Linked DNA regions of Canis lupus familiaris. Each later gene encodes a partner of the first gene's protein in a complex. Links are inferred from orthologs where the notes say so. Each region holds a gene or a part of one and is shown on either strand. Other genes may lie near its edges. The genes, in order: SEC31A and PDCD6.

Region 1 (3,820 bases):
GCTCTATTTAGTTCTTTTTTTTTTTAATGTGTTAACTTCCTTTATTAATGAACATCTAAATTTGGTTTCAATTAAGACAACCTAAATAAAAAATAGTAACCCTTCTTTTAAGATTGATCATGCATGGGTATTATTTTTCACTTACATGGCCATAAACTTTGGCTCATATATTTGCTTATGTATGTTCACACTAACTTGACAGTTGCAGTATTTCATTTGACCTAATCAGGAGCCACAATTTAAGATCAATTGAATTCCGTATTTTCAGCCAAGCTTGCTAAACAGAAGCTATTTTCAAAGGTATTTCCCTTTAAAATATAAAATAAAAATGTAATGAGTTGTATTTTTTCTTGTGTAAGAGCTGGTAATATACAGCCTATCTTCAGGTGGAGCTATAAATTTGTACCTGCTTTTCACAGATAAGCAACTAGTCAGCTGGCAGGGTTCTAGACAATGAAAAATCACATATAACTGATTTAGACATATAAAGATAAACATTTTGATTTGTTCATGAAAAGTGAAGAGCTTGGGTCAAAGTTAACATAAGAAGAGGAAACAAATCCTTGTCCAGAGTGTAAAACTAGTTCTATTTTTGTCTTTGATTCATTGAAGTCAAATTTATAAAGTTATATCTCTATCACAAGGGTATACTTTACTATTAAGAGAGAGTTCTGCCTAAGGAACTTCTAAATATTAAAAGTTGCATTATAAAAACCAGTGTTTTGATGGAGGTAGGAGGACTGACTTCTTTCCACAGGAATATAAATTATAAAGATCCATTGCTAATTTTTTTTAAATGATTACAAGTCTATGCTATTTTAGGAAGCTACCCAGCCATTCACTTTTGTTTAGACATGGGGTTCCCATGCTGTACTCATTTAGACCAGAACCTCAGTTACCATCAGAAGGGAAAGCTGCACAGGGAATGCTTGTTTAGCCAGGCCATTATATACTTGGCTACCTGGATGTCTCTGAGGCACCTCACACTCAACATTTCTAAAACCCTATTCATAGTCATCCTCCCAAACCCAGTCCTTAAAACTTGGTGTTTCTTGTTTCTGTGAACTGCACTGTAATCCTTTCTATTTAATCTGGCCAAAAACCTGGGCATTGTCTTTATACTCTTTTTCCTTCAATCCCTCTTTCAAATCTATCCCTAAGTTGTATTGATAGCATTTTAAAATTTTTCTCAAATCCCTGGTCTATACTAAAGTCTGGGCTATGCCGCCTTCATCTCAGGTCTTCAGCAGTGCAGGAGCCTCTAACTGGTCTGCCTTTGACTGATCTATCTGGTCTTGTTTCTGCTTTGCTTAAAACATTGCTCTCCAGATAAAGACCAAAATATTTTACATTGCCGGGAAGCTATCAGTTTCATACTTCTCCTTGCTGTCTCTCTGCCCCAGCTACACTAGCCTCCTTTTAGTCCCCTTGTCATGATGTCATGATCCTTCCTTTATACAAGTTCTTCCTTTGACTGGAAGGCTTCTCCTTTCCCATTTAACTGGTTAACTCTTACTTGTCCTTCTGATAAAATTTCCTGAAGAGAGCTTTCCCCTCAGTTCAATTCCAGTTATAATGTCTGTTGGTTCCTTAACATTAACTTCTTAACATTAAATAAGCAATTAAATAGCAATACAGTTGCTATTTTAAGTGTATTAATGTAATGTATTAAGTGTATTTTAAGTGTATTAATGACATTCTATTTTTTAACTTTTTTCAAGTAACATCTTCATTAAGATATAAATGTCTGTAAAGTTTTTGTTTTATGACACTTTAAAACGTTCTTTTTCTTTATTAGCCTATAAACTGCCAGAGAGCTGAGATCACTTCTGAATTGGCTTGCAAATACATAGCCAGTGCCTGGCACATAATTGCCTAATATTTTTTGAATGAATGAACTAATAAATCAGAACTTTAAAAACTTAAACATGCCTTCTTTGTTTTTCCAGCTATGCATTCAGTAACATGGTGGTCTCTTCAATTCCAACTTTTGACTTAATCTTGCAGTTTGATGATAGCCCAGTTACCAACCTCCAAAAGTAAACCAAAGACTAGAAGAATGCCAAGATAAATGAGCCAACAAGCAGAGCAAGCAGCCACTCTAACTAGCCAAACTTTTTAAATGCCTGTTCTTTTTATTTCCTACTGGCTGTCTACTTTGCACCAGATACATACTGTAGTGATCAGCATATGTTCTATAATTGATCAGATACTTTATATCCAGTTCTGTTTTTGAAAATCAAAGCTGTAGAAGCCTGTACCTTCTACTGAATATGTGATTTTCATTTTACTTATCCCAAGGGATTTCACATGTTAATTTGTCATTTGATTTTAACAGCCTATCTACAAGGTAGTTAGTTGGTTTCTCTTTGTCACACTTTTAGGGCTTTGTGTATAGGTAGTTTCTGGTCATTTCTGGTCATTTTATGATATTATTTCTTCCAGCATGTGCAGTCTTTGCCAACAGAAAAAATTACCAAAAAACCTATTCCAGATGAGCACCTCATTCTGAAGACCACATTTGAGGATCTTATTCAGCGCTGTCTCTCTTCAGCCACAGATCCCGTATGTATTTTTTTCTCATATTTTGCTTATTTAAAATAATCTCATTTATGGAGCTCTTCTGTAATTGCACAGAGTCTTACAAGATACACTTTAGAAGTTTGTACAATAGTAGTAAAACTAGCATTTATATAGTTTGCTTTACATATAAAGATGTATTATAATTTCTATTATATATAAATAATTTAATCCTCACAATAACCCCAGGGTTATTTGTCATCTTTATTTTATAGATGACCAAATTAAGGCAAAAAAGCAGTTAAGTAATACCCAAGGTCAGAGCCAGAATTCAAACACAGTTTGGGTCCAGAATTTATGCTCTCAGCCACTATCCTGTATTGCCTCTCATCAGCAAACCTCATGTTTGGCACTTAAATAGAACAGAATGGTGGTGTGTAAGAAATTCAAGTTTGAAAAAAAAAAAAAATTCAAGTTTGGGCTTTCTGAGTTTAGATCAAAGTTTTTAAAAGTAGATAGATAATCTTATGTATAACTTTGCAAAAATCTTGGGACACCTAGGTGGCTCAGTGGTTGAGCGTCTGCCTTCGGCCCAGGGCATGATCCTGGAGTCCCAGAATTGAGTCCCACATCAGGCTTCCTGCATAGAGCCTGCTTCTCCCTTTGCCTTTGTCTGTCTGTCTGTGTCTCTCTCTCTCTCTCTCTCTCTCTGTCTCTCATGAATAAATAAAATCTTTAAAAAAAAAAAAACTTAAAAAAATTGTTTTAGGTATTAGAGTCGTATTCATAGTTAAAGCAACTGGTTTTATTAGTTTACCTAGAGGATGCCTGTGTATTGGCAACAACAAAAATCCTACAAAGCTGGTCTTGTTTTAGATGAAATTTCAATTTTCTGCCAACAAACATTGAATATATTTATCCACTGGCCACTTGTCTGCTTGAAAAACAGCTTCTGGAATTTGTTGTTTCATAAAACATTGAGTATTAACATGTGCAGCTTTCTTCTGGTCTTTTGGAAGGCTATTCCCTGTGTTAAATGTGTCAGGAAAGCAGAAGCAGGGAAAGGTTAACATAAACCTTTGTGCCTAGCATTCTGGAAGTGATGGAAGCACTAAGCAAGGAACAACGAGCAGATGAAGCAGTCTAGCATACACTGTCCCCTGTGAACACCTCCAAACAGGGCACATTCAAAAATAGAAGAGTCCTAATAAAAATGAAGGAAAACTCCAGCCCTCCTTCAGACATGAGTCAGTATAGAGCGGTTGATAAGACACCTAGTACACAACCCAGCTCAATAAAT
Region 2 (3,820 bases), on another chromosome or scaffold:
GTCCAGTTTCAGCTTCTAAGAACAGATGTGTGGCCCTGGTCAAGCAGGGGGGCCGCATTCCAGCTCTGCACACGCATGAGGGAATCGGGGGTGGGGGGATCGAGCCTGAAAGTGTCCTCTGACGTCTGTCCACTCCATGTCTTGGGCCAACCCTGGGTGTGTTGGGTTACCCTCTCAGGCCCACATGCTGGGTATGATAGCTCACGGATTCCTTTTTAAAACTCAGGTCTGGTATGTGCTGTGCACCCGATACAGAGACCTGAAAGTAAGGGAGTGTGTGAGGCACACCCTCACCCCGCTAATAGCGGGCCCTGACAGCTTGATGAGTAGGAGTCCCCCACATGGTGCTGTCCTCCCATGTGGGGAAGGCAGTCAGGTGTGGACAGCTCCCCCTCCCTCCCTGCCCAGCCAGCTCACTGCTTTCTGACGAAGAGCTTATCAGAGCACAGGCCCTTCCATTCAGTGTCACTCACCTCAGCTAGTATCGACTTGGTGCTGCATCTGCTTTGTCTCTGTTTTATGCACCAAGGACTGCAAGGCTTGTGCCGTGTTACCCCAGAACACTTTATTCTGCATCCCTGGAACATGTGGACATTTGCTCACAAAAATTGGTGCCGTGGACCCACCTTAGAAATTAGCAGCCCATTCGCATGAGTTGGGGTCCTAGCAGGTCCACGAGCAGCCCCCACCCCTTTTTTATGCCACAGGCTGGTTATACACATGAGTGGATGCCCTGTCCCAGGTCTGTTCCTTGCTGTAGTTTCTGTACCCTGGAGAGTAGTTACTGATAAGCAGCCAGGTTTTTGGAGGTATGCTGTCACACAGGGTGCTGAGAATAGGCAGTTGGTGACTTGTGGGGTCATCAGGACAGCTGTGATGTCTCACCCCTCCTGTGCTTGTTCTCAGTAGAGAACCTCACTCTCCTATATTCAGGGTGCGGCCCTGTGGCCAGCACATCAGGTCTGACCAGGGCCACAGGCTGGGGGAGCTGCACACAGAGGGCACCACCTTTGTTTGTTTTGTTTTTTTGTTTTTCATTTAATTTAGTTGAAGTAGAGCTGACATAATGTTACATGAGTGTCAGGTGCGCAACATAGAGATTGGAGGGTGCTGTAAGGCACTCCGTGCTCACCAGGGTCATAGTCGCCATCTGTCACCCCATGGCGGTATGATCAACTGTCTTCCCTATGCTGGACATCTTGTCTCCTGACTGACTGATTTTATAACTTCAGGTTTGTTCTCCTTAATCCTCTTCACTTCTTTCTTCCAACACCACCCGTTACTTAGGAGTCTGTTTCTATGTTTGTTCTATAATTATCTGGTATTTGTCTTTCTCTCTGACTTACTTCATTTAGCATAACACACCCTAGGTCCCATCCATACTGTCGCCAGAGGCATCATCTTTTTCTATGGCTGCCTGATATTCCTGCGTGTGCACACCTCTTCTGTGTCTGTCTCCCGGTCTGTCACTTGGGCTGCTTCCATATCCTGGGTGCTGTAAATAATGCTGCAGTGAATGTGAGAGTGCAGATCGAATCAGTGTGTTCATTTTCTTTGGGTAAATACCCAAAAGCGGAATTATTGGATCATGTGGGAGCTCTATTTTTAACTTTTCAAGAAACCTCCATACTGTTTGCAGCGGTGGCTGCACTAGTTTGCTTCCCACCAACAGTGCACATCCTCGCCAACATGTGGGGTTTCTGGTCTCTGATACCAGACACACTGATCGGTGTGAGCCACCTTGTTCTGATCTGCATTTCCAGAGGATACCCCCACTTAATTTATGAGGATAGGGTTATCATGATGTGGATTTTCAATGGAGAAAGTTCTCAGAGAAGAGTCTGCTCCCAGATTTTGCCTCTTACATAAACGTCTCTTTTGTACTCTGTTTGTTCATCACTCATTTTCCTAGTGTGGTTTTCATTCGTTTTGTTCTCTCTACATTAGTATTGAAGGCCAGGGATACTGGAAGCTAATCACAGGGATGATAGAAGTTGTTTCTGTGGTCTGTACCACTCCTGAGTATGCATCCTGTGTGTTCTGTGTGGGCAGGAGACCCGCACAGCGATGGCTGTCGTCTGCTCTCCACACCCTGGTGAGCTCAGCCCTTACCAACCTGGGCCTTTCTTACCTGTCCACAGGTGGTATAGGTGCCAGGTGTGAGGAGAGGAGACTCAGAGGGGCCAGGGGTTTGGTCCCGATCCAGGACCTACTGTCTCTTTTATTTAAGTCAGGGATCCTGTCTTGCCTTCAGCTGGCAGGGAAGGGAGCCCTGGATTTAAGTCACAGATGCATAGAGTATGCTGACCACTCTGGAAGGTACTGTCATGTGTGTGCATGTTTGAATCTTTTTTTAGTGAAGTAATTAAGCGTTTATGCAGGTAATTAACTATGAAATTCACTCAGATAATAGGTGTACATATATCCTCGCAAAGATTCCAGCAGGACCGAAAACCAGTAAATATATTTGGCCCCTGGATCTTGTCTCCTGAATAAGTAAGGACTCCACAGTCACACAGGTAGTGGGATTAGGAGGGAAGGAAGTAGGTGTGCTTGTCTATGTCTAGAGTGGCCCCGAGAGGTATCCTCGTGTCTTCAGGACCGCCTCCCTGTTGGAGACCTTTTCAGGACCTTCAGTAAGTTGAAGGTGGAATCGGTGGCTCTTTGTCATAAGATTTGATGACCCTTGAGTGGTTGTGAATTTTATGGGGCTGCCTTATTCCTTGTAACCTTGCATTTCCTAGTGTCAGTGTGCTATATGTAGGGGAGTACCCATCAATTGCTCTGCTATTCCCTGAGTTTACATTCTGATTATTTGGAAGTCTTCAGTAATATGGTCTTTCAAATGTACAATGAAACTTACCATTTGTAAGATGAAAACTTGATAATGAAGCCTGGCTGCCCTGCGGAGTGATCTTGGGGTGCAGCACTATAAAGTGAGTCTCCTGGATGTGAACAAGTGAGCTCACCTGAATGACCTGCTGTACCCGATGGTGCTGGCCACCTATGACACTCACCCTTGCAGAAGAAGGTGGTGGTCTGCGAGTCAGCCATTGGCAAGACTGCACATGGGGAGTACTGCAGAGTGAGGGCTTTGTTCCCAGAGTGCATGTGAGCGAATTTGCGCCTTGTGTTTCCCATCCCAGCCTCGGTCGTTTGTCATTTGTTATCAGCAGATGTAAGAGGCTGCAGGGCCTTATGGGAAGAGGATGGGAGTGTTGATGGGATGTCCACTCTCCTGGCCTGTGTTCATTCTCACACTTCTCTTCCAGGGTACCGGCTCTCTGACCAGTTTCATGACATCCTCATTCGCAAGTTTGACAGACAAGGACGGGGGCAGATTGCATTTGATGACTTCATCCAGGGCTGCATTGTCTTGCAGGTAATTGGGGCTCCCTGGGGGCTGACAGAGCTGAGCTGTGGCACAGGGGGCGAGGGAAGGAGGGAAGTGCCATCCTGCAATGAGTGATTTCATGGAGTAGAATCAGTTCTGCAGCTTATAAGAGCTAGTCTTGTCTGTGGAGTTCTGTTGAACGGAGGTGTGACCAGTAGAGCCTGTTCTCCCCGTGGGAGTACAGCTGGCCCTCAAACAACATGCGACCAAATATGTTGGTCCATTCATAGGCAGATTTTTTTTTTTGATAAATACAGTATAGGGCTGAAAATGTATTTTCCTTATTTTCTTAATAACATTTTTTCTTTTTTTAAGATTTTATTTATTCATGAGAGACAGAGGCAGAGACATAGGCAGAAGGAAAAGCAGGCTCCATGCAGGGAGTCCAATCTGGGACTCGATCCCAGGACCCCAGGATCACAACCT

What was found.
Region 2: the proteins of SEC31A (region 1) and PDCD6 are in contact, whole or in part, in a crystal structure (PDB 3WXA), measured with the Homo sapiens proteins. The link is inferred for Canis lupus familiaris from reciprocal best matches to the Homo sapiens genes SEC31A and PDCD6. Residues at the interface, in NP_001070675.1 of Homo sapiens: Asn837, Pro838, Pro839, Pro840, Pro841, Gly842, Phe843, Ile844, Met845; in NP_037364.1 of Homo sapiens: Val31, Val35, Leu48, Ala51, Leu52, Ser53, Asn54, Gly55, Thr56, Trp57, Phe85, Trp89, Ile92, Gln96, Phe99, Phe148.

Annotation. Positions count from the first base shown.
Region 1 is NC_049253.1:33,233,730-33,237,549, forward strand, and holds part of SEC31A (protein transport protein Sec31A), read left to right. Parts: intron 1-2,445; coding exon 2,446-2,565; intron 2,566-3,820. UniProt on the Homo sapiens protein: Component of the coat protein complex II (COPII) which promotes the formation of transport vesicles from the endoplasmic reticulum (ER).
Region 2 is NC_049255.1:12,055,396-12,059,215, reverse strand, and holds part of PDCD6 (programmed cell death protein 6), read left to right. Parts: intron 1-3,272; coding exon 3,273-3,382; intron 3,383-3,820. UniProt on the Homo sapiens protein: Calcium sensor that plays a key role in processes such as endoplasmic reticulum (ER)-Golgi vesicular transport, endosomal biogenesis or membrane repair.